2 linked regions of the Arabidopsis thaliana genome follow. The protein of the gene in region 2 interacts with the protein of the main gene of each other region in a pairwise test. Each region holds a gene or a part of one and is shown on either strand. Other genes may lie near its edges. The genes, in order: AT5G44090 and AT1G05860.

Region 1 (17,691 bases), on a different chromosome or scaffold from region 2:
TTAATTTTTTGTTTCCTATTAAGGTCCTGATGACTCTGAAGGCACGGTGGTGACTGGAGTTGTGGTGCGTGATGGGAATGAACAAAAGGTTGATCTGTTAGTGCCATCGACGCAAACTGAGTGTGAATGTGGTCCTGAAGCAACTTATCCAGCAGGAAACGATGTGTTCACTGCACTTCTATTGGCTTTACCTCCACAGACATGGTCAGGGATCAAAGACCAAGCTCTTATGCATGAAATGAAGCAGCTCATTTCCATGGCTTCCCTCCCAACTTTGCTTCAAGAAGAGGTAACGCTTTTACCAATTCTATTTATCGGTAATCATCAAGAGTCACGGTTCTCTCTCTAGTGGAAAATGGGATCTTTGTACTTGAGATATATAAGTCTTTTGGAAAAGAAACAAATAACTTAATCTAAGTTGAGATTGACAATGACTATTTTCGAGTTCATCCTTAGATATAGCTAAATCAAATGCCGAATCTAAATGAGTACTTGGTGAAATGAATCTGTGAAGCAGATGAGTAACGTGGTGAATTTGGTGTAAATGCAGGTATTGCATCTTCGACGGCAACTTCAGCTGCTAAAACGATGCCAAGAGAACAAGGAAGAGGATGATCTCGCTGCTCCTGCCTATTAGTTCATTGTCCCAAATCCTCTCTCTTCCCCATTTGAATCCCACGTTCTCAACACTTAATTGTTAGAAAGTCTCTTTATTCTCTGTACGATTCAAACTCTATTTGCAATGAGAGATATATGTAACTTGCATTCTATAAATTGTTAATCACAATAAGTTAAGAATCCTAGAATCATATTTCATCACACTCAAATGCAGATTATGAATCCACTATCCACAAATAAGTACCAAAGGCTTACATTCAAAACAACAGTATCCCTTAGTCCCAACTGTGTACACTGTTTTGCTAAGGATCATTCGTATTAGACAGTCAAATTTTGAATCCGGATTCTAACAGATCCTATTGCAGACTGGATCTGGTCACTTTTTCACCGATCAGTGGCTATAAATACTGACAGAGATATGGTTTTGATTCTTAGAAAATCTCTTTATTCTATGTATGATTCAGAGAGATTTTCAAATCTCATTCTCCTACTTAAATGTTCATTGTGGCCATCAATATCTTCACTTGACTTGATTATCTAATCTCTGGTCACAGCGAGATGCAGTGACACAAGTGCATGGAACTGTAACTGTTGGAGCACGTCAGAAAGTTCTTAACTTCAGGAGCTCTTATCTTATCTGGAAGCTCATCGAAAGACTTCTATTGTCGAGATAGTTCTGTTAAATGCATTGATGCCTGGGGTTGAGGAAGCTAAAGTGACAGCAGGGATGGTAGTTAATACCAATAATGAACAAGAGGTTGGCCTATTGGTGCCGTCAACCCAATCTGTCACCAAAGGTTCTGAGTATGGTCCAGAAGCAAAGTACATAGCAGGAAACGATGTCATCACTGCACTTCTGTTCGCTTTACCTCCACAGACATGGATAAGGACCAAAATCCAGATCTTTCAGAACAAAATGAAGAATCTCGTTTCCATTGGTACCCTCTTCACTATGATCAGCCTAAATAAGATCAATCTCAGCAAAACCAATAACATATGCAATCTAATATAATATATAAGTTATTAACCATAATCATTACACTCTACTGCAGATTATGAATCAACTCTCACACACACATACACAAAGTAAGTAACATTAAGACCCTAAAATCCTCAAAAGTCTATACCTCTTATCACCATTCCAAAGACCGAATCCTGCGTAAAAACCGTGGTGGCTGCTGCTTCGGTTTCTCAACAACAGGAATCACAAACTCCATCAACTTCTGGTATCTCTCTTTCCTCTTATCTTCAATCTCCTTAGAAAGCAACTCATTCTCTTCCTCAAGCTTCGCAGCCAAAGCTTCTAACTCAACTTGATAAGCTTGTTTCCTCTCTCTAGACCTAGCTGCAGATTCACGATTCTTAATCATCCTTCTCTGTCTCTGTGCAGCTGCTTTATCCAATGGCTCAACCATCACTCTCGCTCTCTTCCCTCTAGCTCCTCCTCCGTAAACATCTAAACCATTCCCAAACGCAACTATTGATCCTTCTACTTTATCAATCATCTGAAACGGATTATGCGGCGGTGCAGAATGATCGAATCCGTAATTCGTCACCGGAATCTTCACATCCAAATCCTCCGCCGACGCCGTCACCGCTGTTTCGTCTTCCACCGCAGCTTTCGCTAGAAAATCCTCTAACGTCATTATCTCTTCCGACGTCTCTTCCTTCATCCCTTTACCTTCTCCTGATACCATCTCTCTCCAAATCTCATCAACACTCTTCCCACCACGCGTCGTCTCCGTTCCTCCGCCGTGATCCACAACATCAGAAGCCGTCGTTGTTGTTATCTCCATTGGTGCTGGAGAAGCATCCATCAGATTTATCGACGCATCTAAGAGTGAAGATTCCGTTGGTGCTGGTGGATCTGATGCGAAAGTATCGTGTAAAATCCCTTCGACCGTCATCGAATTTGAACTGTATAATCCGTCGTTTCTTCCGCCGTAACCGACACTTGTTAGATCTCGCCGGAACTGTTGTTGAGGTCTTATAGACGAAGAAGAAGTAGAAGCAGAAGAGATGCGACGAGATAGATCCGAGTTTCTCGAATTTGAAGAACGCATCACCTGAAACGACGTCATTTCTGGAGAAGATGATGAACAAGTTCCGTTTGTTTCGTCCTCTTTCGCCGGAATCGGATCAGAGAATCACTCTGTTTCTTTGACTCCGCCAAATGTTGAACTTTACAGAAGCAGAGATTAGGGCTTTTTGTGTCGAATTGAGAACCTTTGAGAACTTTTGGTAATTTATCCCAAATTGTAATTAATTGACTTTTATTACTTTTTTAAAATACCACGCGCATATGTGGCACGTGAGTTTTAATTTTTAGACTTACCAAAGAAAAGAGCTGATTTTGGTAAATTGGATAAGGTTAAAATCAAAATGGATAAGATTTTCTAACTTTTGGAGCGCGTGGGAAGTTTTGTCGCGTGTCATCAAACTGTAGTTGTCAAACTTGCATCAATTATTTCAAGATCATTAATGTATTATAACTTGACTATTATTACTTGAATTTAGTTAAGGTAATTTAATGACGTTATTTTAACTCGATGGTAGTTGTTTTTAGAGAATATTACACTGTAAGATATTTTTTAAAAAACATTTTTATGGTTAGACACTTTTTAAAGATAAAGCATTTTGAATAGATGATTTGACTCATTTATCGTCTAATCACATATCGTTTTATCTCTCTCCTTCTCTTATTTATTCTCTCTTTTTCTTTTACTTTATCGAGAAATAAACAAAAATCAAGCCAAAAAATAGATTTCTTCCTTTTTCCTTCTTCCATCTTCAACAAATCATCCGCTTTTATGAGAAAGAGAGATTGAAATTCAGCTTTTTAAATTTTCCACATCTGCTTTGATCTGACTTGAAGGAGAATTTTTTCAAACCATCAATTTGAGAATCTGCCCGATCTGGCTGATTTAGTTACATGACTCGTTGAATAATTGAATTGGATTTGCGGTTTGGTTTTTGTTTTATGTTTTTGTTATTTGTTGCAAAATTAATCTGATTACTTGCTCTTTAATTCTTTGTCTTTCTTCTCCAATTTCATATTCGAGATTATTCTCTTAAATTGGAGATTAAAGCCTCGCAGTGGACTTCGAATTATTTGATAGCAATTGTCGAATCACTAATTGATGGAACTCGTTGCTTAGTCCATGTTCTGTGAATTTGATTCATGATTATATTTGAGTTGTATATATTCAGAAAATCTGGTTATCTTATGTGTTCATCATAAACGGTTTATAAGTTTTTTGATGGTTGATTCACTTATTGAAGAACCTTGTTGCTAGTTCTGGTTCTGTGAAATTGATGGAGATTTTAGCTTAGATCTGAGACTAATTTTCATTCACAGATGTTAGACTGATTTCTACGTTTGTGTTTAAGATATAGATGTTAAAAATTTGGAGCAAAATCGAGAAGATCATCTTAACAGAGTTAAATGAACAGATCTCTGTGGATAACGATTTCTGGACACGTTATTCTTTACTTTTTTATCTCAAAATCCAATCGAGAAGATCACCTTAACAGAGCTAAATGAACAGACCTCTGTGGACAGCGATTTCTGGACACGTTCTTCTTTACCTTTTTATCTCAAAATCCAATCGAGAAAATCATCTTAACAGAGTTAAATGGACATACCTATGTGGACAACGACTTCTGGACACGTTTTTCCCTTGAATTTGTGATCATTTATGTTATATCTTGAGATGTTCTGTATATAAAATCAAACTTGGACTTGTATTTTAAAACCTTAAAATCCAATCGAGAAGATCATCTTAACAGAGTTAAATGAACAAACCTCTGTGGACAGCGATTTCTGGACACGTACTTCTTTACTCTTTTATCTCAGTTTACTTGAACTTATCTCTAAGTTTTTTGCTATCAAATTCTATGGCTTTTGAAAAGGAATGACCCTGTTCTTTTTGTAATCGATACGTCAGCGATCGGCGACTGATTTTTTTTTAACTTACTTGCGTGTAATGTATGTAGAGACTAACAGGGGCGGACGCAAGTGTATGAGTACTGGGGCACGTGCCCCATGCAAGATTTGATAATTTTGAAGTTTGATGTGCAATTTGTATTGGAGATGAAAGAATTCGTTTGTTGTGCCCCATGTTATAGTGATTTTTTTTCTAATCAGTTGGTTATTACTCATTATTTTTACTATTTTCAAGTAATAAATGTTTTCAGTATTTAACTTATTTTTCCAAATTTATCTTTTTCTATAACTCTTTGAAAGAATTATGCTAATACAAGGACACTTCAATTTTTTCTTTTTCCATTTACATGTCTTTTAAAAAATGTTTATATTGTATTTTATTTTTAAAATTTATATGTTAGCTATGTTGTGCCCCAGGTTAATTATGGTTCTAGATCCGCCACTGGAGACTAACATCATCATTCTCATGAAAAGAGTCGCAACGACTATAAAAGTGATCGCCGTTTAGTCTAGTGATGCCGACGATACCAACATCTCATGTAAAAGTGGTCGCAACGACACCCTTACTATTTATTCTCCGTTTTCTTTAGAGAGGCTTCTCCGTAAAGAAAAATACAGAAGCTACACGATCTTGACAAACTCTCAAATGTTTGATTTTGCAAGGAAAGAAAAAAAGTAATAATGAGAAGAGAGAGAAAGAGAGTGAAAAGAAGAAGCGACGAAGAAGAAGAAAAAAAAAGGAACGTGGAAAGATGAAACTTTTTTTTTTTATTATAATTTCTTAATTTTCAGAGATAAATTGGTCAAAAGTTTAATGAAAAAGTTGGAAAAGTGCTTCATCCGTGACAAGTGCCTCAAAAAGAATAAAATTCTTTAAAAATGTCTAAACGTGTCAAATTCCCTTATTTTTAACCGCCATAGAAAGTGAGTTCATGCTTGTTAAAACAAAATGCACGACTTTTTAACACATCTTCCAAAATATCATATTGACAAACAAAGTTTTAATGATTCTTATACAAACAAATAACCAATGTCGGCTCAAACCAATCAAAAACTGATATATAGTATATAATTTGATTTGATATTCTATAGTTTATACGAGAATTGTAGTTGATATCATAGGCACAAATTTGCTAATGAGGAAAAAGCAAAAACAATGATCATGTAAAACAAGTTTCAAGGTTTGTAAATTTCTTCCCACAAAAAAAAGTGTCTTTGTACATAGTTCTTTCGATTTTAAATAAAACCGTTGTTGTTGGTTCCACAAAACACTATAAAGCGGCGTATATAATAATATACATAAGATTGAAAGAGGGTCCAACCTGAGAAACCTAAGCAAGACAAATATTTCATGAAACTAACACAAGCTTACGCATCGGATAAGTCTCTTGGTCGCCAATCTCTAGGTGGAACCGTGGAATGGACTGGCTTTCGTGGTTGTCTGTCTGAAAATTGTTTCCGAGGCTCTTACCACCCAAGAAGATCTGACTTCTCCCTCTTCTTCCCAAGAAACTAGTAAAAAAAGCAACGAAAACGGCTTTTAATACGTTTAATATACCAAAAGATACAAACTTGTAACATTGAGCACATCAATTTTGCTATTTCATACATGCATAAGGAACATGATGCTGACCAGTGTTGAACAAAGTACCTCTTACGAGTCACTAAAATGGAGATTCGAGTGGTTCATCCCAAACATCTGCACTCCCATTCGAGACTTCCTCCACATCTTCCTCCATTGACAACCTCACATACTCTCTCTGAGCAAATCGGTCCCATTCCGTCAATGTTGGATTCTCACGTTCCTGTCAAATGGAAAACAAAGTTGGTTTAGAAGTAGCAGAGACTGGAACAGATACAACCGGCTGCAGTAGTAGGTGACTATCTGAACTTATAATAATTTTTGCGAATTTTTATGGCATTAATAAATATTCAGTAGTAACAGTTTCAACAGCTAAACGAAGGATTGAATAACCAAAGGGAGGAAAACTCTATAGAAAACCTATGTTTACCTGACGAATGAGAAAAGGGTCACGGGTTTCAAACGCCATGAATTTGTTCAGGTTAAAGAGTATATTGAAAATATTTCCAGAAAGTTTGGATGCTTTCAGATCCTGGAGTGTGATGCAGTTCTCCTTCTGAAAGAGTCATTCGACAAATTGATGATGCGAATAAGAGCAAAGGAACAGACAAGCCAGGAATATCAAAAGACCATGTTATGGTTTAAAAGAAATTTTGCCTCTGGTTTAATCATGTCGAATATTTGACATAGGATATCTTCAAAGAGTACAGGTTCCTGGGTTATACATTCCATGCGATGCAGCTGCTCTTCGTAGAAAAACTGCATCTCGTTGGGAGTGATCACCCCATCTCCATCTAGGTCTATGCACTTGAACCTGCAAAGATGGTTTTAATCAATATCAAGGGAAAACGAAAAACAAAAAACTGCCAAGAACCTGTGTTTAACATCGATGGGAGATAGATGAGCATACCAGCGAGGTATGCCCTCATATCAGCGGTTCAACTGAAAATGTTCTAGATTCATGAGATGATGAATGAAAATGTTCTAGGTTCATGAGATGATGAATGAAAATGTCTTAGATTCAAGATGGGTATCCTATGTTCATGAAATAATAGTACTACTAAATGTTTAGTGCGTTCAAAATATCAGGTAGGCTTGTATCATCAAGAAGGCCACATATGCCACAAGTTTTGGCTCAGAAGTTATACATTTATAGTGACATACTGTGAGCTAAGCAGCTAAAGGACAAAATGGCTAAAGAGAAGTCACTAAAGACAAAAAGAGAAGAGGGGAAGAGACATGTACCAATACTCAAGACTAGGCTCAGATGACTTATCCTCCTCAGCGAGAATAAAGTATGCAAAATCTTCATAACTCATCTTCCCCTCAACTTTGCTTGTAAATTTCCTAGGAACCTGAGTGAGAGACAGCCGTAATTTCAATTAAGAAAGAAGGAAACACACTCCATAAGATAACAATTAAGTTTCGAGAAAAGTGTTCATTAACATTTTGACAACTGGAGCCAACCTGTGAAAATATTCTGTCGACAATCCTGTAGGTAAGGGCATGATTACCATATTTGATGAGATTTTCCTTATCAATAAGGAAATCATGGTCGCCATCGAGTTCCCAAAATCTGCAGTATATCACGTAGAAATGCTCATAGGAGAAGTACCTGAAAAGTAAAGAAAAGGTCATATTGAATGGTCAAATCATGCATGATGTCTTGCCACAGTATCACAATATGAACTACCAATACACTTCTTCCTCTTTATGAGTTTTATGGGTAGTGCTTATGTCTAAGAAACAATTCGAAGACCTATGCACTACCCATATTACTCACAATGCTACACACCTTGCTGAGCTTGAATTCTTAAACAACTTAAAGTGGTCTTTATTATACAAATAAAACTAAAATCTTAATCTTTTTAACGTATTGTTTAAGAAATAATGAAAAGGAAAACAAAGTCACCTAATAACTTTATTGATGTCGTCTTCTTCATCAACTTGTTGCATGGCAGTAATAAGATTCCCACGCTTCAGCTCTCTAAGAGTAATGCAACCAGTACCTGATCTGTTTATGTAGTAAAATATTCTGTAGATGACGGTCTCAGCTGGGTTGACGGAATAGAACACAGAGATGAATGAAACAAGCACGGGAAAAATTATGAATTAGTCAATAGATGTATAAAACAGTAAGCACCTGAAAATATACTATATTTAAGAAGCATCTCATAATTTTCAAAATGTAATTATAATGAACAAGTACATAGAATTAAAATTAGAAGAATTATTGCCTAGGCCAATCAAGCCAGCTAAAGATGTCACTTTCAAGTTCGTCAATGCGTTTTGAAAGATCATATATATATGGAAAGAAATTGTACGAACGTCTTAGTAGAAAACAGACATTCTGGTAGAACTATTTCACACCATAACATCAATGTATCAAAAACCAAGTTCTTACCATATCTTTCTTGAAACTCAGGTGTATTCCTCAGGAATTCCAAGCCGGGATGAGTTGTCAGAAGCTCATCAAGAACTGGTTTGAAGTCAGCCTATCCCAAATCCAAAAGAAGACATTAGCCTTCAGGACTAAAGAAATCAAGTGAGACAATAATCATTGGTAAACAAATCAAAACAGCAGTGAAGAGCTGGGAAAAGAAAACAAAGAGACCTGTCTAAGGTACTTGCAACCTGGCTGCCTTAAAATATTATATATCTGTGAGGCTACGTCCATTGCCAACATATGTCCATCAACCCAATACTTGATAAATGCATCCCTGCAGGAACCAAATATGGTGTATTTAAAAGATACTAGCTAAACAGAAAGATTACAGCTGCTGTATATTTCTATGATATTACTCATGATTTGGCTAATTTAAAGATGTATCAATTCCAAACAATATCTACAGGGTAGAAACTTCAATATTACTTATCACAAATGTTCTAAACAATATATAAAATCGAGCACACTAAATTTATTGAAAGTAAAAAGAAATTATATTCGAGTGGCATAAATAAATAAAAAGATAACAATCAGGTATTAAAATTACTATGCCACATTCCATTTCTTTTAAGGGTGAGCAATTTATGAAACAAATAGCTGAGCGTGCATCTGGAAATCCAGACCAATGTGATCTATTATTATATTACATGAAACACATATGAATACCAGTGGATATATACATTTAACTACAATTACATATGAAAAGAAAGAACACAATGATTTACCTTGTAACGATACCGGTGCCACTCGTGTCTATCTTTCTAAATAGTACAGAGGAAAGAAAAGAAGGCAGCTTGCAGACTTCTTTAGTAATGGATTTGAATTCTGCAATTGAACAATAGCAAGAATGTGTTTGTAAGATCAACTGTTTGTCTATTCATTACAGAACGGGACTGTGATGTAAAAAAGCTTGTATTTAAACATCACCATCCATATGAAGTCCGTCTATATAGTTACTAAAAAATTGATCAACCATGGATATACATTGCTCCCTTAGTTCCTTCGCAGGTGGACGTCCATGTTGGAAGTAAAACTGCATAGCATATCAAGGCATAGAAGCGTCAAACAAGAATGTTGAACAATATTAGCTAAACCCTTCAACTATGTAAGATGTCAAACGGATGACCATAATAAACTTACTTGTTGTCATCGTTTTGTTAAAAAAAAAATTGTACCTATGCTACTTGAACGAAGAATTTAGTTTCTATTGTATTTGTTCTCGTGGTTCTCCATCTACTTAGAAAACTATTACAGTCTAGTTTCAACAATTACGTGAGCATATATAAAACAATCAAATCATGATGTCAACTGTCAAGCAAGGTAGTGCCTTCTCATGTTGTTTGTAAGACATCCATATGAGGAGCAGTTGGATAAAAAATCGAACCTGTGGAATGAGTTGGCGCTTTGGTTCCCTGACTGATTTCAGAGGAGACTGTAGAGAAGGGCTTGTCTTTTGCCTCGAGAAACGGGGAGACCCAGGTGAGCCTCGTGGGGATAGTGGGGGAGTGCCGCTGTTCAGAAAAACAGATGGCAATGCACTCCCGCAAGCAACATTGAGACTAGTACAATTTTTGGATACACTGACTGGGGTACTAGATTTAGTATCATCAATTAAAGACTTGACCTGCACAAACATCACACAGATGAACTGTTAAAAGAGGACCACGTAAAACCTTAAACGAAAAACAACCACCAAAAGTTTCTTCACCAACATGAGTCGGCAATCGGCATACAACACTGGACCATATTCTCAGGAGCTTTAAGTTAAATCTGGTACTACACAAATACAAACACTTCTCAAGTTTAGCAGAGCCTTGTAATATCCCAGTACTATTATCACCTAAGTCATTATAACCCCTAAATGTGCTATTCAAGCACTCTTTATCTAACACTAAGTAAAATCTATAAGAAATAAACAAAACTACTAAATATGCAACAGCCGAGGATTCAGTAAGAGCAATAAGCATGTTGAATCTTGCTCTGCAGAAATTGACTTGAAATCAGATAAAGTCACAACAAGGACTTACGAACAGGTATCAGCATATACATAAAACAGGCGCCAACTATTAAATGAACAAGAAACCAAACGACGCTAAGGAGCCACTGAGCCAGAGGCTTGGGAATAAAATTACCAATCGGCCAGTTTCAGGAAGTGAAAGCCACTGGGAGAAGAGTTCTTCAGCAATATGAGGATTTTCTTTAAGTGATACAGGAGACAAACCGGGAAGCTGCAAGAGCTCAGGATCCAAAATCTGAACATCGTTTCCACCATCGATTTCCATGATTATCTTCTATCTTATTCACTGAGAATCAGAACTACAACAAAACCCCAATATCGGAATTCCTTGAGTCAATTCTAAAATTGGATCGAAACCCTAATTTCTTCCAATAACTTGAAGCAGTAACTCCAAAACAGGATTCTCAGACTTTTCAAAGATCTATAAGCACGAAATCCAAAGAAAATTCAATAAAAGCAGCTCTGACCAATCGAGAAACTCTCTAACTAGTTGAGAAACACCAGCTCGAAGAAGAGAAACTAAACGAAAACCAAAATAAACGATTCGATAAACCCTAGATTCCCAAATTCTATCAACAAGCAAAACAGAGTCCTATACAAAACTTCTTCTGCAATTCAAGCACAAACGTGGAAGAAATTGGAAGATCCAAAGAACACTGATCTCTCTCTCCGATCAATAACAAGCTCGACGACGAGAGGAAGTCGTAGAGAATTTTTCCAGGGAGATTGTGTTATTGATGAGAAAATGAATTAAAAAGGAAAAAGTATTTAATTTTGATTTTAATACTCTCTCTCAGTCTCAGACGCAGTAGTACTAGCGGTGGTGGTGGTATTTTTGTTTTCCACTTTTAGTCCTCAACGTTGACCAAAAAGTCAACCAAATCCAGCGTTCTTTATCCGTTTTTGCGATCATGTTTATTTGAGTCTCGAGTCAATTAATAAATCGCAGAAATTAGCGATCAAATTGTTTGTTTGGTTGTTAAACTTCATGACGTTTCGACTGTTATCATCAAGATTGCAACTGATTCATTAAAGTCATAAAAATGTGACTTCACATGTGTAAACCTAGTTTTGAAGAATGATGATGAATATTTGTCATTTCTCAAAAATTGTATTGGAGCACTTGCTTTTTTAGTCGAAATGCAAAAGTATGTAGGAGTAGATCATATGAATCTAAAAATGAATGTATTTTATATGTGTAACTTCAATATGAAATTCAGTTTTGCCACTTTATTCGAAGATGAGCGCTAACAAAATGTGAAGAGTTTAACTATAACCATTCAAGTATACGATCAGTGAATAAGTAAACATTTGAAGTATGGAAAAAATAAAAATAAAGAGTTTTAGATTGGAGTCATCTAAAGTATGATTTGACTAAGTAGATGAGCTAATTTTACTATTAAGCCAAAATTTCACCGTTTTTACATGATTTGACCAGAGTATGCCTGCCCCAAAAAAACAGAAGCATTAAAAGAGACCAAAGAGCAGTTGATTGTTTTGTTTATTACAGTACCAGTACAGATAGGTTCGAAGTAATCGAATATACGGATAGAAATTTTACCGTTTTTACATGGAAACTCTCTCTACATTTTTGATTGTTATGTTTGTCTAACACATATCACGATTACATAAACAAAACGAGTGAAAAAGATCTCTGCAAGCTGAAGCTGAAATTACATGTAAAAAGATCTGAGGATTTCATCAGGTTCAAATATATGAATTCCCTCAAACCAAGATTCTCATCTTTCTTCAGAGGTAATTTCTTTGGGTTTTCATGGAGTTTGCTGTCTCTCTCTCCATCATTTTCCTTTATTTCCGAAGAGAGAGAAGCTCGAAGCTTCTTAATTGATCTTCCCGAGTGTTTCTTGCCGCTGTTGCACGAGAGAAAGACAGAGTCTTGGATTCATATCCAGCTTGCACTCTCTGGCTAGTTGAGGGACGGCCATTTCCACTGCCGCTGCCACCACCACCGCTTGAGGAAACCAGACGACTTGAAGTTCGGCTTTCGCTTGGTCCACCTGCAGAACTTGGCCGGGAGCTTGAAGCAGCAACGGCTTTCCTAGAAGAAGATGCTCTATATCTTGAGGAACTGTTTGCTCTTTCGGAGTCTCCATGCTGCACAAATAAAACAAACACAGTTAGGTCTTTGTCTTATTTAGCGGTTCTGATCAACAATGTATGTAAAGAGTAAGATTTTTACTGTCTGCTTAGAGAAAGGTCCGTCGTCTGAGTTTCTTGATCTAGAACGATCTCGAGGCGAAGAAGTTGTAGTCGGGTGTCTTCTGGAGAATGCCTCCACTGCACCTGGGATTTTATATCGGGTTGTTTCCTTTCCTACACGAATGGTAAATAAAAAAAGAGTAGAAATTAGAGTGAGGAATGGATGTGTATGGTTTTGAGATTTTTAATAGAAGTAGGAAAAGCAGAATTTTACCTAGGATCCTCTCTTGTCTTTCAATAGGATCTGCGTTGAATCCGGGTTTCGCTGTTGTATGATGCTGGAAAATCCAAAGATTTACATTTACGTAAGTACAGAGAAACTCAAAAACCATGAGGGTAAAAACACAAGTATAAGATTTTTAATAATCACCCTTGTTCGTGAACTAGAACCAGAGCTGGATCCGATTTGAGGATACTTTAAGACTGTCCAGTCAAATACATAATCGAATTGATAACCTGTAAGAGTTTCAACAATATGAAAAAGATAAGATGAGAGTGGCTTGAAACAGTAAGCGAATAAAATTTCTCGGAATAATGATGTTAAGATAAGAACCTTCTCGGATAAACAAGTCACGGAAAAGCCTCTTGAGGTAAGAGTAATCAGGTTTGTCATCAAACCGTAAAGATCGGCAGTAATGAAAGTATGAAACGAACTCGGACGGTTGGTTTTTACACAATACCTACATCGAAACATTCCAAGCTCAGTTAGAAAAGCTAGATTACCTACCAATGCCAAAATGAAAATCCTTTCGGTTTGTCAAGTTGTTGTAACCTAACCTCTATAGGAGTTGACACTTTTTTCTCGCTGATTCTGTCATACTTCTGCTTCTTTGTCCCAGCTTTTAATCCCTGCCAAGGTAAGCTGATAGCCCAAAAAAACATATGGTTTAAACTCTGTTCAAGAAAATATACAGAATTTTACAGACTCAGGTAGAGAAGCTGTAGACGCTAACCTTCCTTTGAGAAAATACATAAGAACATAACCAAGTGATTCCAAATCATCCCTTCGACTTTGTTCTGTTTAAACATCAGCGAAAACTAATTAAGTATTTGACGGAAAATTTTTATGAATACATATAATTCCACAGATCAACACTCTTACCGACTCCAAGGTGAGTGTTAACACTTGCATACCGAGCTGTCCCAGTAAGATTTTTGTTTTCTCTGCCAAAATATTAGAAATTTCCATTGAGATCACGTAAATCAAGATGCAAAAATGCAGATCCTTGAGTAAGGATAAAGGAAAAAGGGAGAACACAGCATATTCTTACCTGTAAGGAATGTGCTTGTGAGTCTGAAGGTCTCTGTATTTCTTCCCTAGTCCAAAATCAATGATATACACCTGAGATATAAAGAGAGATAAGTTATCTCAGAAGTTTGAGACAGAACCCGCCATCGCAACTACATTTAATGTATAATCATAATATGTCCAAGAACAAGTTTTTGCACCTGATTTGCTTTGCGTCCAAGGCCCATTAAAAAGTTGTCAGGTTTTATATCACGGTGAAGGAAACCTCGAGTATGCATAAACTCAACCCTGTTAAGCTGAAACATAAACAGATAAAACAATCTCCTCCATTACAAACAAATTCATATATTCAGTGAAACAGAAGAGCTGGAAACCAGTTAGCAGATCCATAAACTCACTAATTGGTCGGCAAGCATGAGAACAGTTTTCAATGTTAACTTTCTGTTGCAGTAGTTAAACAAGTCTTCAAGACTAGGACCTAGAAGGTCAATAACCATTACGCTGTAGTCACCTTCAACTCCAAACCACTTGATGTTCGGAATACCAGCTTCAAAACAAAACAAAGCAAAAACTGTTTTAGTTATTTGCAAAGAAGCATATGCAATGAATCATCGCGAATCGAGAAAGTTCTACTATAATGATAATGCTAGTTTGTAAGTGACACTTACATCCTCCTTGAAGCAGCATATACAACTTTGACTCATAATGAAGTTGTGGATGTTTGGTCTTCACATTTTCCTAATAATTGGCATCAAACAAACGGAGGGTTAAAAAAAGAGTAAAGAAGCAAATCCAAAGCACACAACAACAAGGGCGTCTTTAATAACAAATTTCTCATAGCCTTCATGTGACAAGAATTATACAAACAACATCACATGAAAGTTGCAGCTGAACAAAAAGAACATTTCTTTGTTTGGCATAGAGAGATTAATGTTGTTGATAAATGTGGTAAATTCTTACCAGCTTGACAGCAACTTCTTCTCCTGTTTGGACATTTACACCTGCAAAAATCCCTCAACATTAACAACATGTAAAATTGAAGAAATCTACAAAATTTACAAAAAAAAAAAAAAAAAAAAATCGTCTACTTTGTTACCTAGATAAAGCTCTCCAAATGATCCACTACCAATTTTCTTCCCAAGCTTAAATTTCCCACCGATCACGAGATCCATCTTCTCCGATCTCTCTCAAACCTCAAAATTCCCAAAAATCGATATCAAAAAGAAACCTCCTTTTTTCGTTAATTAGCCCCTGGATCTGTTTTCCAATTCAGCATTTAAAACTCAGATTCACGGATTTAACATCGAAAAACCCTTCAGAGATTGAGATTCCAGAAGTCAATTCTTCATCAACGACCTTCGAAAACAAAAACCCACCATGAAATCAATAAATCTCCGAAAACTTCATCGCAAGAGACCCGATTGCCAAATTGATTAAAACCCTAAATCAGATTTAGAAATCGAACTAATCCCAATACGAAAAGCACAAACTTTTAGATGGATTTGACCCGAGAATTGGGCACGAAATATTGGGTAAATTGGTTAATACGAAGAGAGACGAGAAGAAATGGAGATTTGTGACATTTTTTTGTCGTGCCTTTGTGTTTTTTTTGTTTTGGGTTTCCTTTAGAAAAGATTTTTTTTTATTTATTGATAAGTTAGGTTTTAATTATTTTTACAGTCGGATAAATTAACAAAAATATCCAGATTAAGGTTTTGTGTAGGAAACAAACAAAAAAAGGTGTGTGAAGAGGGGAACAAAAGTTAATATGGTGGTTTTTTGGTTTTTGATATTTAGAGGTTAAGCGTGACATGCTCTAACAGTTGTTAAATTTTGCAAAAATTGTTTTTACACTAGTATTTTAATATTTTTTATTGTGTTACAGCAATTTTTGTGTTGAAAAAGAAAAACTATAAACGCAAAAGGCAAAACATGTACATGCTTTTCTATTTTTATATAGTTTATTAAAAATAAAAGTAAAACGTTAAGATTTAGTATTTATTTAGATTTCTCTACTATGAGTAGGTATTTCGGTTTAACTTCGGGTTTAGGTTGGGTTCGATTCGATCGGATATTTTGCCATGCGAGTGTTAAGAAGGATCCGCTCCAAACCAAAATTTGGACATAAACAGTTAAATATTGAGTTAATTTCAAATAAGGCATTTGTTTTATAAATATATTTGCTTTTAGGCACTTTTGACCCAGCATTCAAAAACAGGTACTATCACTACGTGAAAAGTCATCTTTCTCCCTCATTCACTAGTGTCATCTTCTCCACACGTTCTATTTACTCACTCGCAAAGGACGAGACATGTGAACGGTTTCAATCGTTGAATCCTCAACGTTTGGTTATAATAGTTTATTAAGTTAATGCAGCGTTGAAATTGGAATTCAGAAACTGATCAAAATGGAATATCTGGCCGATGAAGATGATGAATAGAGAAATGTCGGTATCAAAAACAATTTTGATATTCCATGGCGATGTCTGATTCCAAATTTTATGATTTCTCAAACAAAAAGCCAATTAAGTGAAGTTTAAAGAGGAATCGAGATGCCTTTGCGTTGATTTAGAATTCAATTATAATTTATGGGTTGTTGTTCAGTGGCATAATTACACAAATACACATGTATATACATGCATATATACACAAAATCAGAACTGAAATTCCATAAAATCTATAAAATTTTTTGATTGGGTTCCCTATATACTATCTTAAGGTTTAATATTGTGTAATTAAAAAAAAAAATTAAGTTTGCTTGAAAAATTAAGAAGAAATCGATTTGATCAGATTCTGCAACTATGTTCGATGAAGAAGAAGAGAAAAGAAGACAAGGACAAAATTGTCCCAATTGAAGCAATAAATCGATACTGTTACATTCAACTGTCTAAAATACCTATTTTGAAATAACTTTATTTAAAATGCCTATTTTGAATATAAGCTCTTAAATATTGGCAAAATAGTAATTTAATTAAAAACGTGGTTTTACAGAAATTCTTTCATGTGTGATAAAAGTTATCGGATTCTAAACAATGAAGTACCATAGAAAACAAAGGCATCTGTAGAAGCAGTGCTCTTATTCTTACTGATCTCATAAACAAGTTAAGATTCATCGGTAATATGCCATTTGTCTAGACGACATAAATGGAGAGGTAACAACAGGTTTCTTCTTCGTCTTTTTCTCAACTTTGGTTTCAGACCGGAGCCAAGCTTCAACAACAGATAGCAGATTTGGTGAGGTTTTGAGATCCTTGATCTCATCTAACTTGGCCGAGAGTTTCAGCTCTCCTCCATTAATGTAAGCCAAATGACTAGCCCATGTCTCGAGCCCGTCGAAAATATGAGTTGCATATACAATTGTAGCTCCTCTCTACTCAAATATAAAACATGAAAATCAGCATTTGATATTTCTAAACATAAGATGAGGGGGGGTTAGTGAATGGCTTACCTGTTCACATTCTTCTTTAAAGAACTCCAACAAATCCATCCTAGCAACAACGTCGAGGTCAACAGTAACTTCATCCAGTAGTAATACCTGTGATCATTACAATTTAAGTATCAGATATGATCAAAGAAAAAACAGAGACCACAATGAAGAGTTGATTGTTGTTTAT
Region 2 (14,410 bases):
TTTTCACTGATGATTTTGTTGATATGGCCTATACATTACATGTCATTTATCTAAATAAGAAGGAGTGATCAGAAAAACCATTTTATTCAAACGAGATATTAATGCATACTTGTCCAGCAGCGAGTGCATATACGATGACCACAAGAGACCGATGCCAAGTTCTTATGTGGGTGTGATTCGCCACAGGCTCCGCAAAAATACTATCCGAACATTAAGGGATCTTGTATTAACTTAGAGTTGGAAAAAGAAAGAAAGTAGAATTAACAGAAACATTTGGATTGAAAGATTGTTGTTAATTACTTCGTTGTCATCAGAAGGTGGATCAAGCTCCAATAAGCCGACGCTGTCTCTAACACTTTGAGCACCAGCAGACCATTGTTTACATATACAATCAACATTCCTAAGTACATAAAATATAAGAAACAGAGAGATCAAGAAAAGGGGTTGCTTGTAGAAGAAGAAATTCAAATCTTAAGAAAAGAAAAAAAAACATTTACCATCTTAAGTGAGAAAGCAGAAGTGTGGCTTCAGCTTTGGAGAGGGAAGTAAAATCTGAAACACTTTGAACGTCAATTTCCATAAGCGCTCGAATATCTTCCTCTGTCAGAACAGTTGCATAATTCCGCTGGACAGATTTTTTTCCGGTCTGACCATCTTCTAAAGCTGCGTTGACATACGACTCATCCGCCTCCGCATCCACCTCCGATCCGATTACAGAATTATTATCCATACAAAAATACAATGTGAGAAGAGAGGACGTTTTCTCCTTTTATAGAATTCAATTGAAGAAGACCAAGTCGTTGACAAGGGTGTACAATTCTCTTACTTTTGTGACAAGCAATCTTTAAGTTTCTCAGCTTTTACCTTCCATCTTCCGATGTCTTTTCAATAAGTTCAAACACTTGTTCTACTTCCCCTTAAACAAGAGTTTACCAAAGACAATTGGGAATCGTTTTTAAACAATAAAATGGTTGACAGGCGATCTATCTATGGTAAAATTAAATGTCCAACTGTTTACTTTATTTAAATGATTGTTTTGTTCCTTATCACATTTGCTAATTAATACTATATAGACTCTATGCTTAAAGCCTTCAATCTAGTAAATACAGTTTAATGTTATTATAGTCATGACACTGATCATATCAATTAGTTCTACTGTACTAGAGATCACAAGTGAAATTATCACCGCTTCACATTGATAAAAGACTAACCTGGATTTCAGTCTAAAAATATCATCTAAGAAAACCATATAGAATTAAATAAAATATTGAAAAAGTCATACTTATTTTTTAATCATGCATGCAATTGGGAATATTATATGGTCTCCGTTAGCTTCCTTGTAAGAAAGAGTCTCACAGAGAGAATATGAATAGAGATGCAAGAAAAGGAAAAATCAAGGAAACTACATCTCATCTCAAGTAAACCAAAATGTAATTTTTATGACAATATAATAATAGATAAGTTAACGTCAACTCCAGCATCTCAACTCTCAAGCTGAGTCCGTGTAAAATTGAACCGATCGTCCACTATGACTCACGGAATCTACAACTAGAGATCATTAAAACAAATGGGTAAAACACATTAGATTATCGGACTCGTCTCACCATGTTGATTCTTCGAAATAACAACACAAGTACTCCATTCTTTCACATAAACATAATAATGTTAGTATTTATTTAGTTGTATACTGTGTTGTGTCTTTATGAATTGTTTTATCTTTGTTTGGTGTATCAAAAGTGACGTGTGTAAGTAAACCTTTAAGGGGCTAAATGAAGAAAAAAAAGCCTAAAGCGTTAGATCATGTGGATCCTACCAGTGCGATCTCCGTGATGGCTCGCGCCTCCCAGCCTCACACCACGTACGAGTGCAAATTGTGCAAAATCAATTATACGCTTTTTATAAGAAAACATAAAAGGGGTCTCTTTTTGTTAATTAATAATTATATATGGTGACTTGTAAACTGAATAATGGTGATACTACTAGTAAGCACCGATAAGAAATACGAACATCTTTAATAATGTGGTCATTTCCAAATAAAATGATTCGAATATGCCACCCTTGCATTTGTTGATCTCATCATCACTATTGATTTTCTGATCTTCTCGATCTACGTTGATTTTGTACATATGAATAATACCATGAATGAATACCTAAAAGTTGATTATGTGTCTGATTTCAAGCATACGAAATATTAGTGTTGTTAGTTTATCCAGAATAAACAAATAAATATATATGCCTTGCATGGCAATCTTTGGTAAAAAACCCAACATATATAACAAAGAAAATAAGCAATATTATTCTTCTAAGAACATTTCATTTATAAATATGCATGGAAAAGGGAAATAATGTATAAAAATGTGGTCATATGTATTTCCAATGGGTCATGGACCTCATGGTGACCATATATAATGTAGATGAATAATTGTGAGGTGAAGAAGAATAATGATGGTGACTTTGTAATCTTCTCCTCCCACTTAAATTATTGAGCGACAACGTGGCTTTTTGTTGGCCCATATTCATTCGTATCTCCCATCTCTCCACTCCTTATCCACCACGTGTCCCCAGCTGCAAGACCAACTGTGTATATCTTTGTCACATCCAAGTCGTTACAATGACAGTGTTTCACATTCATAAAGGTTAATTATCATCTACAGTTTATGACAGTTCTATGATTATATCTGTTATAACATCATATCATCATATACATGCAGTCCCCTGTGACTATAGATGACTATAACATAATTTTCTCTGAACAATTGTACTGTTCATTTAATTGTTTCTGATTTTTTCCCTAACATGTTAACTTCTACTATTAAATAAAACTTTAAAATAAAATTTGAGTTTAAAATTAAGTTTTGTTAAAAGATTAGTATTTGGTGCCTTTGATGGATCACATTACCAATTTTAGTCATCTACTTAATTTCAAGATACATATTTACTTTTTGACAATTATACCCTAATTGTCGGGGCTCACTAATTTTAAAACGACATTAGTCACGCGAGAAGATGCCAACCCATCACATCATCATCATCATACATCGCGGCTTTTATAAGTAAACAAATCGACTCTTATGTATTTCTCCCGACACAACACAAAGTTCATATAATAAGAAAAACAGAGAGAAACACACAGAGAGCTAGAGGAGAGTGAGTGTCATGGGTTGTGTTCGCTGCAAATCATCAGATCCATGGCAAACATCTGCCAATGCCTTTGAATCCGTCGATGAATCCGGAATCAACGAAGCCTGGGTTGAGATCTCCAGCCGCAGATCATTTGTCGCCGGCGAAGGTAGTCGGAAGAAGCTAGAGAGGAAGAAGAGCCAAGTGTTACTGGAAGGTTACGTTGAGACTGCTTCTTCTTCCTCGGTGGATGATCAAAAGGACGATCTGACGAGATCCAAGAGTTTGACGGATGACGACCTCGAAGATCTTAGAGGTTGTTTAGATCTAGGGTTTGGTTTTAGCTACGACGAGATCCCTGAGCTCTGCAACACTTTACCTGCTTTGGAGCTTTGCTATTCAATGAGCCAGAAGTTCTTAGACGATAAGCAAAATAAATCACCGGAAACTTCGTCGGTGGAAGATTGTCCGTCGCCTCCACTGGTCACCGCCACTCCGATTGCCAATTGGAAGATCTCTAGTCCCGGTAAATATCTCATCTTTCCATCGATTGATTCGGTAATCTAAGTTCAATCCTAGTTCAAAGTTTGTTGCTTTAGTGTTAAACAAGAATGTGGAATATACCGTTTTCGTTACAGAGGCCACAAATCTGACTTTGAGAATTGAGATGGCAATAATTGGAAAATTGGGATATGAAGTCTGAATGTTTTCAATTTTGTTGTTGGTTACAGGTGATAATCCGGATGATGTGAAAGCTAGGCTCAAATACTGGGCACAAGCCGTTGCCTGTACTGTCCAATTGTGCAGCTGAATGAATCATTGTCACGTCTGAACCAGGAATACTAGCGAATGAGCAATATCTCAAGCATTGGTAGCGGAGGAGGAGATTTCAGAAAGTGGCATTGGAAGGTCTAAAATTGAACTGAATATCAACAATGGTTCTCACTTAATTCCATGTATGTGTACTAGTAGTTAGTAGTATCTAGTCTAATGATTTTATGAACGGAAATAAAAGATATCACTTGAATAAAACCATCAAATTCTTTCTCATTTCCCTGCTGGTCTCAGCATCTACAGCTTTAACATCTGACATCTTAATAGCTCGATTCTTCTCCTTATGCAGTAGTGAGAGCATTCACTTCACTTAACTGGTCATGATTCCGCTGAGGTAACTAATCTAACTGTGTCTATTAAGTATTAACGGAGTGTGATGCAATTATACCATTCTGTGAACGGATTATGTGTTAAGCTACTGTGTAAAGCTTATTACATGTGAGATATGAAAGCTGGAGATTGTTGTCCTTGTGCAGTGCTGAGAGACTTTGTGTTTATGAGAGCTATCACTAACTGGTTATGGACCTCCACTTGCTGAGGTAACTAATCTTAACTTGGTAACTAAATCTACAACCCTCTTTATGAAGGTACTGACATTACTACTGTCCTCTGACAGTCTTTAACTCATTCCATTTTTGTGAGTGTGTGTTGAATCTACAAACCTTGTGGCTAGATAACCTAATTTGGTGATGCTCCTTAATCATTTCATGAAGAATCGAGTGGGACGAAGAGAAAGATGATAGACGCCAAATATTATGTGTTTCCATCTTTTTCGTTCTTCATCAACTAAAAGATGATGGCTGATTACAGTCCTAGATGCTCTATATGGCGACTGAAGATGAGTTATTTTCTGGAATTTAAGAGTGAGTGTAAATATAAGCTTAAACAGTTTCTGGTGACTGTTCTGTAATACATGTTAACGACTCCACTCAACAATAAGTCTTGAGAGAACCTAATCAATGAAATTCTGAACATCAAACTCGTGACATTTAAGAGTTGTTGCTCTAAAATGTATGATTTTTTATATACTCGCGCAATTCCAAGCCCTTTCCGAGTACGCATTGCTCACAAAAATCGGAAACATATGAATCAGTTTGCAATAAATCAAGTCTTAAATTCAGAGAACACTGCAAAAGCATAAATATTTAGATTAAGGAGTAGACAAAGGTCTCAGCAGGAACCACAAAAAAACATCGGTTTTTCACACAACCATGAAAGCTACCAGTTGCTAAAACATTAAGTGTGAAATTGCTAAAGAACCTACTAAAGAACCTAGAGAATACATTCCAAATAAACTGTTAGGAATTAGAAGTTTGCCACAGGAATTAAGTTTGCCTGAATTAAGTTTGCCTGAATCAAGTTTGCCACAGGAATTAGAAGTAAACTGTTAGGACTTCGGAAATCTACTAAAGAACCTAGAGAATACATTCCAAATATATCCTCATTTCAAGCTAAACAGCTTAATTAAACCATTGTGTCAATGTTGCTCCTCGCTTGATTGAAGCTCCTTGTAAGTTGTAACCTTGTAAAGGCACTCACAGCTAAATCTGTCAATTCATTGCAGAAGCAGGGTCGGTCAAATGGTATGCAGGTAGATTAACTGCTTGAATAGAGATTACAAACCTATATATTATAAACGTGGCTTGCTTCAATGCTTAAACAAAGGTATTGGGTTCAAGTCTAGCTAATCCACATTCAACAAGACAACAATAGATAATTACGAACGATCACACAGTATGTTGTTTGTTGAAATCCATGTCTACTCAGCTTAATGGAAATAAATAACTGTTAGCTCCAATCACGAAAAATAAAACGAAAACCATGAGACACATCCTAGAAGCTAGTCATGCTAAAAGCATCTTTGCTTTGCTAAGCTTAACAACAACAAAAAAAAATTCCTACCAACACATTCTGTGTGAACACGATCTACTACATTCTGTGTAGATGACTACCCTATCTATCACCAGTCAAACACGATCCTGTACCTGTCTTTCTCACTAGTGATGATAGAAAGCCAGTCATCTTACCTTCCATTTTTGCACAATTGTGGAAACAAACAGCTTCTGCTCACTCTGTTTGATTTAGCTTGTAAGTTCTTCTTTTACTAAGCTTTTCAATTTGCCCTCTTTTCGTGGATCTTTTCTTTTTGCTTGAATATGATGCACAAATGCAGCTACTATGTCATGGAGTTTCGGGGGAGGCCTGCTTGCTGAAGAAACATTATGACCAGCATCCTTCAAAGCTCGAGCAACATCCTTTTGGGCTTTCTGGAAGTGCACATTACAGAGGGCAGGAACAGTCGATGCAAGAGTTGGTTTTGGACAAGTTATTGCTTTCGACTGAGCTCTGCATGAACAATGTGACCACATAGAGTTAGAATAAAGCTGATTATATAATTATCACATGCTCATTGCACTCCGCAATGCAAAAATTTAAGTTCTTTCCAATCAGGGATATCAAAGCACAGATGACACAGACATCTCACATCTGCTCCATTTTTATCACCAATTTACCATAATAGCTAGACCACCATCACAGTAAGAACTTCATAATGATATAATCATGCAGACAATCCTAACTCCTATCATCTTCGCCCATTACGATACAAACAATGCAAAGTACTTTCAATTCCTCACCACGAAACAAAACCAAAACCAGTATCAAGGAACTGAAATTTCACAGAATCATAAAAACAGATTAGCATTTATTGAAGCACCTATTATTTCCTAATGCGAGAGAATATGATGCGAATCAAAAGGAAAAAACTATGAAACTCGAAATTGTGAACGAACCTTTTATTGACGTAAGTACAAGACGTATAAAGCTTCTGCTTTTTATCCATGAGGATATGAAGCTGACAGTAATTGGTGAGTGCCATGGCCTTAGATTTGCATCCACTACCACAAGCAACACAATTACCAGCCTTAACGCCATCGTTGTTGTTATTATCATTATCTCCGCTACCTTCAATTTCATCCCCAGTTTGTCCTTCAACCTTACGTCTCTTGTTTTGGTGATAATTCTCATCTTTGAAAGGACTAACACCATAGTTCCAGCTATAATATCTATGTTGTGCCTTGAGATCCTCCATTAGAGCCCAGTAATGGTCTCTGTAGCATCTAGAGAGCTGCTTCAGGTTGTGCGATCTGCGTCGGAGAAGCTCCGGGCGAGTGAGGTGATTGGAATTTCCCAGGATCTGATCCTCCACCGCCATCGAAATCGGTGAATTCGATGACGTCGACGGGTTATTAGGGTTTCGAAATTGGGATTCCTCCAATACACCGGATTTCGAGGGGGTTGAAGCAATGATCGGAGATGGATGCCTAGGAGGTTTGGAAGAAGAAGGGTTTTGCTTGGAAGCTGACGCCATTGTTACTGTTGGAAAACAAGGGAGAGAGAAAGAGAGTGGCGAAGAGTGGCTAGAGGAAAGACAAGGACGAGACAGGAAACTCTGGCAAAATTGACATTTATAGAAAGGCCTTACTTAAAAGCCCAATGGGCCATAACATGAACCGAAAACCCATGAAAAAAATCGAAGTAGACCGATTGGTTTAAATCAGGTTCTGCTGGTGTGCGGCTGTCGGTGGAAGGCTCCACTTCAGTAAAGTAGGGCCCACAACACGAACCAGGCTGTCTTGTCTAACCGACACATACATTACACCAAACGCAATCTTCACCGTTGATTGTTCTCTAATCCAACGGTTGATAGAGACTGCTGATCCGTCACCCGCTTTAGTTTAGTGTTTCTTCTTCCTCCTCTCTTTCCCAAGAATCTCTTCCTTATTTTCTCGGCAACGAAGCAAAAAGGGTAATTTTTGTCGGTTGAATTCACAAGCTAGTTTTCTCGATCTCTCTCTGGATCTATAGCTGATCTGCATTGCGGGTAAGCATTTTTTCCACAAGTACTTATGCCTAATTTTGGTAACGATTTAGCTAAATCTTGACTAGAGAATTTTGTTTCGTTGCTTGGTTATTGAATTCGTGATCTCACATTTGAAGTCTTCGCATATCTTATACATCAATCTCTCCAAGTTGGTATAATATTGGTCAATCTAACAATTTTTCTTAGTTTTTTCACTTAAGAACTTAGAGAGTTCCATGTTTTTGGTTTAATTCTTCCTTTGTTGTTTCTAATCAGCTTTTTGGCATTAAGTGCCTATTGTATAAGGTAGATCTGTATTGTTAGTAATTTGTGTTCTGTTTTCTTTATAGTAATGTTCAGATGCTTACTTGGGATTAATGGATGTTTCTAAATTTGTTTTTTTGTTGATGTTTGCAGCTTGTAGCTGGTATTTGTTCCATAGTTGTAAGCTATGGTGACAATCAGGAGTGGTTCAATCGTGATTTTGGTTCTGCTGGCTGTATCATTTCTGGCCTTGGTTGCCAATGGAGAGGACAAAACGATTAAAGTGAAGAAAGTGAGGGGAAATAAGGTGTGCACGCAAGGATGGGAATGCAGCTGGTGGTCTAAATACTGCTGTAACCAGACGATATCAGATTACTTTCAGGTTTATCAGTTTGAGCAACTCTTTTCCAAAAGGAACACTCCCATTGCTCATGCTGTTGGTTTCTGGGACTACCAGTCTTTCATTACTGCTGCTGCCCTCTTTGAGCCTCTTGGTTTTGGTACCACTGGAGGAAAGCTCATGGGACAGAAAGAAATGGCTGCCTTTCTCGGTCATGTAGCCAGCAAAACGTCCTGTAAGTTTTCCTTCATTTTAGTCCTCTTTCTACATAGTTGACCATCTAACTATGAATAGAAAAAAGGATGCTTTAAGCTTACCTCCATAGCTATACCATTATATTAATCTGATCAAACTCGACATTCAGAATCATGAAAATGGATATGCCCTAAGTTGCAGTTGGTGGTTTCTATGTTGTAAGAAGCTGCATATGAGTGTTACTGTGATGTCTTATAGGTGGCTATGGAGTTGCAACAGGAGGGCCTTTAGCTTGGGGTCTGTGCTACAACAGGGAAATGAGCCCAATGCAATCCTACTGTGACGAGTCCTGGAAATTCAAGTACCCCTGCAGCCCTGGAGCTGAATACTACGGACGCGGTGCCTTACCCATTTACTGGTACACATTTCTCTTCTACTTTGAAGCTCTAGATAAAAACTGTGTCAAACAATTTGCATTCGTCCATACTGAAGGTATTTTTACCTGTGTGTTATTTGAAGGAACTTCAACTACGGAGCAGCTGGGGAAGCCCTGAAAGCTGATCTCTTGAACCACCCTGAGTACATTGAGCAAAACGCGACACTTGCATTCCAAGCTGCAATCTGGAGATGGATGACTCCAATCAAGAGAGCTCAGCCCTCAGCTCACGACATCTTTGTCGGAAACTGGAAACCTACAAAGAACGACACTTTGTCCAAGCGTGGCCCGACTTTTGGCAGCACCATGAACGTCCTCTACGGAGAGTACACATGTGGTCAAGGTTCCATTGATCCAATGAACAACATAATCTCACACTACTTATACTTCCTTGACCTCATGGGTATTGGAAGAGAAGACGCGGGACCAAACGATGAGCTCAGCTGCGCAGAACAGAAACCTTTCAACCCTTCAACTGTACCTTCCTCTTCCTCTTCGTAAGTCTTATGATATATCGCCGTTGCTCTCAAGTCTCTCTTGCTTAATGTTACGTAATAAGTGAAATTGCTTGTGGTAAAAAAAGAAGAAGTGTGTTTTTGTCCCTCTAGAACTTATAATGCAAACAACATTACATTTTATATTTTTCTGTATGTAAAACCATATTTAATTATTGTATTGGAAGAATGTGTGTAAAATAGAGAAAGAGCAAGGAAACATAAATGTGGTTTGCGAATGATATTTGTTTCTATTCGTTTGTTATAAATTTGTTCACATGGTTTTTAGTCTTAAACTCATAACCTAATACTTAAATTAAGGAAACAAATTCCTATGATTTATAATTTTGTTACAATTGAAAGTTGAAACGACAAAAAGGATAATATAACTGAACAGTAAAATATGAGTTGTAACAGCGTCAGTAACACCTAAGTTTACATGTAATAAATTTACCTGAATGAAACCATAAAAATATCGAATTAATGGGTCGAAAGAAAAAGAAAAGTCCACGCTGGAAATAAAAAATAATAAAATACGGGAATTGGTGGAAGAAGTGACCAAACAAACTCTGTAATTTCTGAACTTCCTCGTCGTCGTCGTCGTCGCCGCCGGTCCGGTGGTTTCTTTCAACTTCTCCGCCGAGACGACTGACGCTGTAAACATCAGGCACGTGGGAAGAAGAAAGAAGATGACTTTATCAATCGTATCTTTCCCCATCTGCGGAAGATTCACGCTGATTTGGTTTCTCACTGCTCTTGTTTCCGTCTCTTGTAATCCCGGAGTGTTCAATGTAAAGTACCGTTATCCAAGGCTTCAAGGGTCCTTGACCGCCTTAAAGGAGCACGATGACCGGCGTCAGCTCACAATTCTCGCTGGAATCGATCTACCCCTTGGTGGAACTGGTCGCCCTGATATCCCCGGGTCAGTTTCAGATTCCTCTAAAGAGTTGTTATTGTTTCTTTAGCGTCTCTGATCACTGCTGATTTCGAGCCTTTTGAGAGGAATTTATGGAATCTCTAAAAAGCTGAGATTTTTGAGTTAACTTGCAGTGATCTCTCTGTTTCATTGTTTATCTCAGGCTTTATTATGCAAAAATTGGAATTGGAACACCTGCTAAGAGCTATTATGTTCAAGTCGACACAGGGAGTGATATTATGTGGGTTAACTGCATCCAGTGCAAACAATGTCCAAGACGAAGCACTCTCGGTGTAAGCTTTTTGTTTTGTGTCTCATTTACGTTTGCCTTTCGTTGCTCCAACTCAATGGGTGAGGTTTTGTTTCTCTATGCAGATTGAGCTTACACTCTACAACATTGACGAATCAGACAGTGGAAAGTTGGTCTCTTGTGATGATGATTTTTGCTACCAGATTAGTGGTGGTCCTCTCTCTGGCTGCAAAGCTAATATGTCTTGTCCTTATCTTGAGATATATGGAGATGGTAGCTCTACTGCTGGTTATTTTGTCAAAGATGTTGTGCAGTATGACAGTGTAGCTGGTGATCTCAAGACTCAAACAGCTAATGGCAGTGTCATTTTTGGGTATGTTTCCTTTTAATAACCTCGCTTTACATGACTTATCTTTAAACTAGTAAACTGCTGCAACATGGTTCTTGCGGCTTTCTTAGATCTTCTTTGTGTTCTCACTTCTCACTGAAAAGAACACAATTTCACCTTCCTTGTGGTCAAGGTTTTATTTTGTTAAGTGAACAGAAAAAATAAGAAATGGAAAACGCTGTTACAAAGCTTAATTGACCAACAGTTTTCAAAGTGCATACAAAAGCCAAACAGATAAAACTTAATTGCTTAAAGAAAAAAATCTTGAGATTCGTTGAAGTGCATACTGGTATCTATTCTTTTTTATTTTGAAAGTAACATGGGAATAGGTTCTCCACCATATAGTGAATATCACAAATAGACCTTTACTGAATATGTTGTGCTTTTGATTGTGACAGTTGATTAGTTTGCTAAGGTATCTTCCCGAGCACAGCTCATTTCATCTAATTTCATATGCTTCTACACGTTGAAAAACTTAGTAATTTAGAAATATCATATTTATACAATATTTATATTTTAGTTTTGTATCCTGGCCTGAGAATTGCTGGTCACGTAGAAAATCCCTCAGAGATCTGTAAACAAAGTAGAATAGTTGTCCATTAGCGTTTTATCAGTCCTACGGCAAGGAAGCTTAATCCGTCATTCCTCATTGCCTCTTCCATTTTTTTAATGTTTTTATATGATCTTGAAGGTGTGGTGCTAGGCAGTCAGGAGATCTAGACTCTTCTAATGAAGAAGCACTTGACGGAATACTTGGATTTGGGAAAGCTAATTCTTCCATGATTTCCCAGCTGGCCTCATCAGGGAGAGTGAAAAAGATATTTGCTCATTGCTTAGATGGAAGAAATGGAGGTGGTATATTTGCTATTGGACGTGTTGTGCAACCAAAAGTAAACATGACACCATTGGTACCCAATCAGTACGTCAACATTGTTTTCCTTTTATAATGTTTTTCCTTTTATACTTCAAATACAATCATAAGAAGCTCAATGATATACTGGTAGAGGCAGCCACTATGTTACAAATAGTAGAGTGAAACTTCTTGCAGTTCTTATTTAGAGAAAGAAAATAACATTAGTGTACTTTACATGAAAGCTTCGTCTGAAATGGTGAATGTGTTCTTTCTCTAGCTCTTTTTTGTTAACCGACTTTTTTTGTTTTCAATTGCAGACCACATTACAATGTCAATATGACAGCAGTTCAAGTTGGTCAGGAGTTTCTAACTATCCCAGCCGATTTATTTCAACCTGGAGATAGAAAAGGAGCGATAATTGACAGTGGTACAACCTTGGCCTATCTTCCAGAGATAATCTATGAACCATTGGTGAAGAAGGTACAGTTCAAGAAAATATCCAGTTCCTTTAAGAAATTGAACTGCAGGGTCTCATAAATCTGGTTCTTTTATTAGATAACCTCGCAGGAGCCTGCTCTAAAAGTTCACATAGTGGATAAAGATTATAAATGCTTTCAGTACTCTGGCAGGTTAGTTATACGTCTTCATTTAATGATTTACACTACAAAATTTTCAAATAGGCATCTGCCAAGAATACCGTTGGACATCATTGTGGATGGTTTGCATGTACGCAACTGCTCATTGTGATGTCAACGTATCACACAATAGTTTTCTTGTGAAAACCACATCTTACCTTTGCTGCAGAGTTGATGAGGGGTTTCCGAATGTCACTTTCCATTTCGAGAACTCGGTTTTCCTCAGGGTTTATCCTCATGACTATCTGTTCCCTCATGTAAGCATCTTCAGCCTTTATGGTTGATTTTTGGCTCTTGTAATATTCTTGTTGCAACCTGATTTTACCCTCAATCTTTCTATCCATTGCATACCAAACTCATAACCCCAAAATTTCACAGGAAGGAATGTGGTGCATTGGTTGGCAAAATAGCGCAATGCAATCCAGAGATAGGAGAAACATGACACTTTTGGGAGGTACCTTAAATTGGATACATAGTTTGCAGTCACATTATACAAAAGCATGACTTAGTGACAAAGTTTAATTGCATGCAATTCAGTTTGTGGAAAAAGCCCATTGTGTTCTCTTGCTGTCAGTGACAATGAACCCCGTGTGATTTAATCCAATGCCCACAATATCTTACATTCTCTTTTGCAGATTTGGTGCTTTCAAACAAGCTTGTTCTCTACGATCTCGAAAATCAGCTCATTGGGTGGACTGAATACAACTGTAAGTGCTATATTCATACACTCAAACGATTCATGTCTCATTGTGAGTGGGAAAGATTTCGAATTTAAAACTATTTTATCTTTGTTTTATCTGTCTTTGCAGGCTCATCAAGCATAAAAGTAAAAGACGAAGGCACAGGAACAGTTCATCTAGTAGGCTCACATTTTATCTCTTCTGCATTACCTTTGGATACCTCTATGTGTCTTCTATTTTCTTTACTTCTCCTCATGACTCTTTTCCTCCTTTAGAGACTCCTTATAGTTTATCTTTTGTACATAGATTCAACATTTTGCTAAAATGGTAAAGAAAAAGGTCTGATATATAGATAATACGAAGAAACCCAGCAGATTGATGATGACCATTTTATTGATTTAACTAATTTATTGATTTACTCGCACTGAAAAGACCAAGAAAGAGGTCGCAGAGCAAACTGGTGTGTGTTGGAGTAGTTGAAGGAGAGAGTCTGCATTGGACTCAGTGGCAAGCCATCGTTAACCACACAGTTTCCGGCGGAAGAGGAGAGAACACGGAGGAATGTGGGGTCCACAAGCGACTGAGGAAATCCTTGACATTTCAGACGAAGGTTGATGATTGGACACATGGGACATTTGTTCATTACCTCGACTCTGAACTTCTTTCCTTCTCTCCACTTCACCTGCGTCTGCCTCACCGCCGGTTCGCTGCTTTTGCCCTCACATATTGCCCCAGAACCTATACATACAACCCCAATCACATGTCTATATGTAAAATTACAATGAAAAGTTTTTAAGCTTTGAATTTACCTATTTGAAGAAGCAAGAGAGCAAGAGATGACCAAAGAAGGAACTTGAGAGGTTTTGACATTTGGACACAAGTAAACTGAACTACAGAAGCATCATACTCCAGAGCTGAGTAATATATACACAGACACAGTGACACAAAAACATGTATACACGTGCGTTTGTGTATGTGCGTGTGAGGGAATGGGTCAAGGGATACGACCAATAATGGTCACATGCACAGATAACCAAAAAAAGGTGGGAATAAAGCTAGACTACAGAGGACTTAAAGGAGTGGTAAGGACTTCTTCCTTCACATGTTGTGTCAGACTGAAAAAAACAATGCACCTCATATTTC

What was found.
Region 1: the proteins of AT1G05860 (region 2) and AT5G44090 interact in a two-hybrid assay, tested with the Arabidopsis thaliana proteins (one large-scale study listed by BioGRID).

The regions. Positions count from the first base shown.
Region 1 is NC_003076.8:17,737,036-17,754,726, forward strand, and holds AT5G44090 (Calcium-binding EF-hand family protein), read right to left. Parts: upstream 11,491-17,691; 5' UTR 10,875-11,490; coding exon of another isoform or gene 10,725-10,874; 5' UTR 10,560-10,724; coding exon 10,305-10,559; intron 10,217-10,304; coding exon 9,977-10,216; intron 9,626-9,976; coding exon 9,520-9,625; intron 9,418-9,519; coding exon 9,318-9,417; intron 8,867-9,317; coding exon 8,761-8,866; intron 8,642-8,760; coding exon 8,551-8,641; intron 8,201-8,550; coding exon 8,059-8,200; intron 7,762-8,058; coding exon 7,614-7,761; intron 7,502-7,613; coding exon 7,392-7,501; intron 6,961-7,391; coding exon 6,804-6,960; intron 6,703-6,803; coding exon 6,577-6,702; intron 6,370-6,576; coding exon 6,229-6,369; 3' UTR 6,216-6,228; intron 6,077-6,215; 3' UTR 5,731-6,076; downstream 1-5,730. Other genes in the region: CAD1 (phytochelatin synthase 1 (PCS1)), read left to right, coding at 24-289, 551-637; AT5G44080 (Basic-leucine zipper (bZIP) transcription factor family protein), read right to left, coding at 1,752-2,699; ckl7 (casein kinase I-like 7), read right to left, coding at 12,419-12,724, 12,810-12,943, 13,044-13,107, 13,200-13,285, 13,383-13,509, 13,607-13,691, 13,783-13,846, 13,932-13,993 and 6 more; ABCI21 (P-loop containing nucleoside triphosphate hydrolases superfamily protein), read right to left, coding at 17,187-17,447, 17,526-17,612.
Region 2 is NC_003070.9:1,761,975-1,776,384, reverse strand, and holds AT1G05860 (INO80 complex subunit D-like protein), read right to left. Parts: upstream 7,400-14,410; 5' UTR 7,325-7,399; coding exon 6,747-7,324; intron 6,623-6,746; coding exon of another isoform or gene 6,529-6,622; exon of another isoform or gene 6,426-6,528; intron 6,301-6,425; coding exon 6,036-6,300; 3' UTR 5,982-6,035; exon of another isoform or gene 5,502-5,981; 3' UTR 5,099-5,501; downstream 1-5,098. Other genes in the region: ARI12 (RING/U-box superfamily protein), read right to left, coding at 1-28, 110-200, 301-400, 498-730; AT1G05870 (hypothetical protein (DUF1685)), read left to right, coding at 3,157-3,646, 3,852-3,931; POM1 (Chitinase family protein), read left to right, coding at 8,268-8,655, 8,874-9,033, 9,135-9,552; AT1G05840 (Eukaryotic aspartyl protease family protein), read left to right, coding at 10,235-10,467, 10,625-10,754, 10,837-11,084, 11,791-12,018, 12,270-12,432, 12,508-12,581, 12,757-12,844, 12,966-13,041 and 2 more; AT1G05835 (PHD finger protein), read right to left, coding at 13,683-14,005, 14,077-14,137.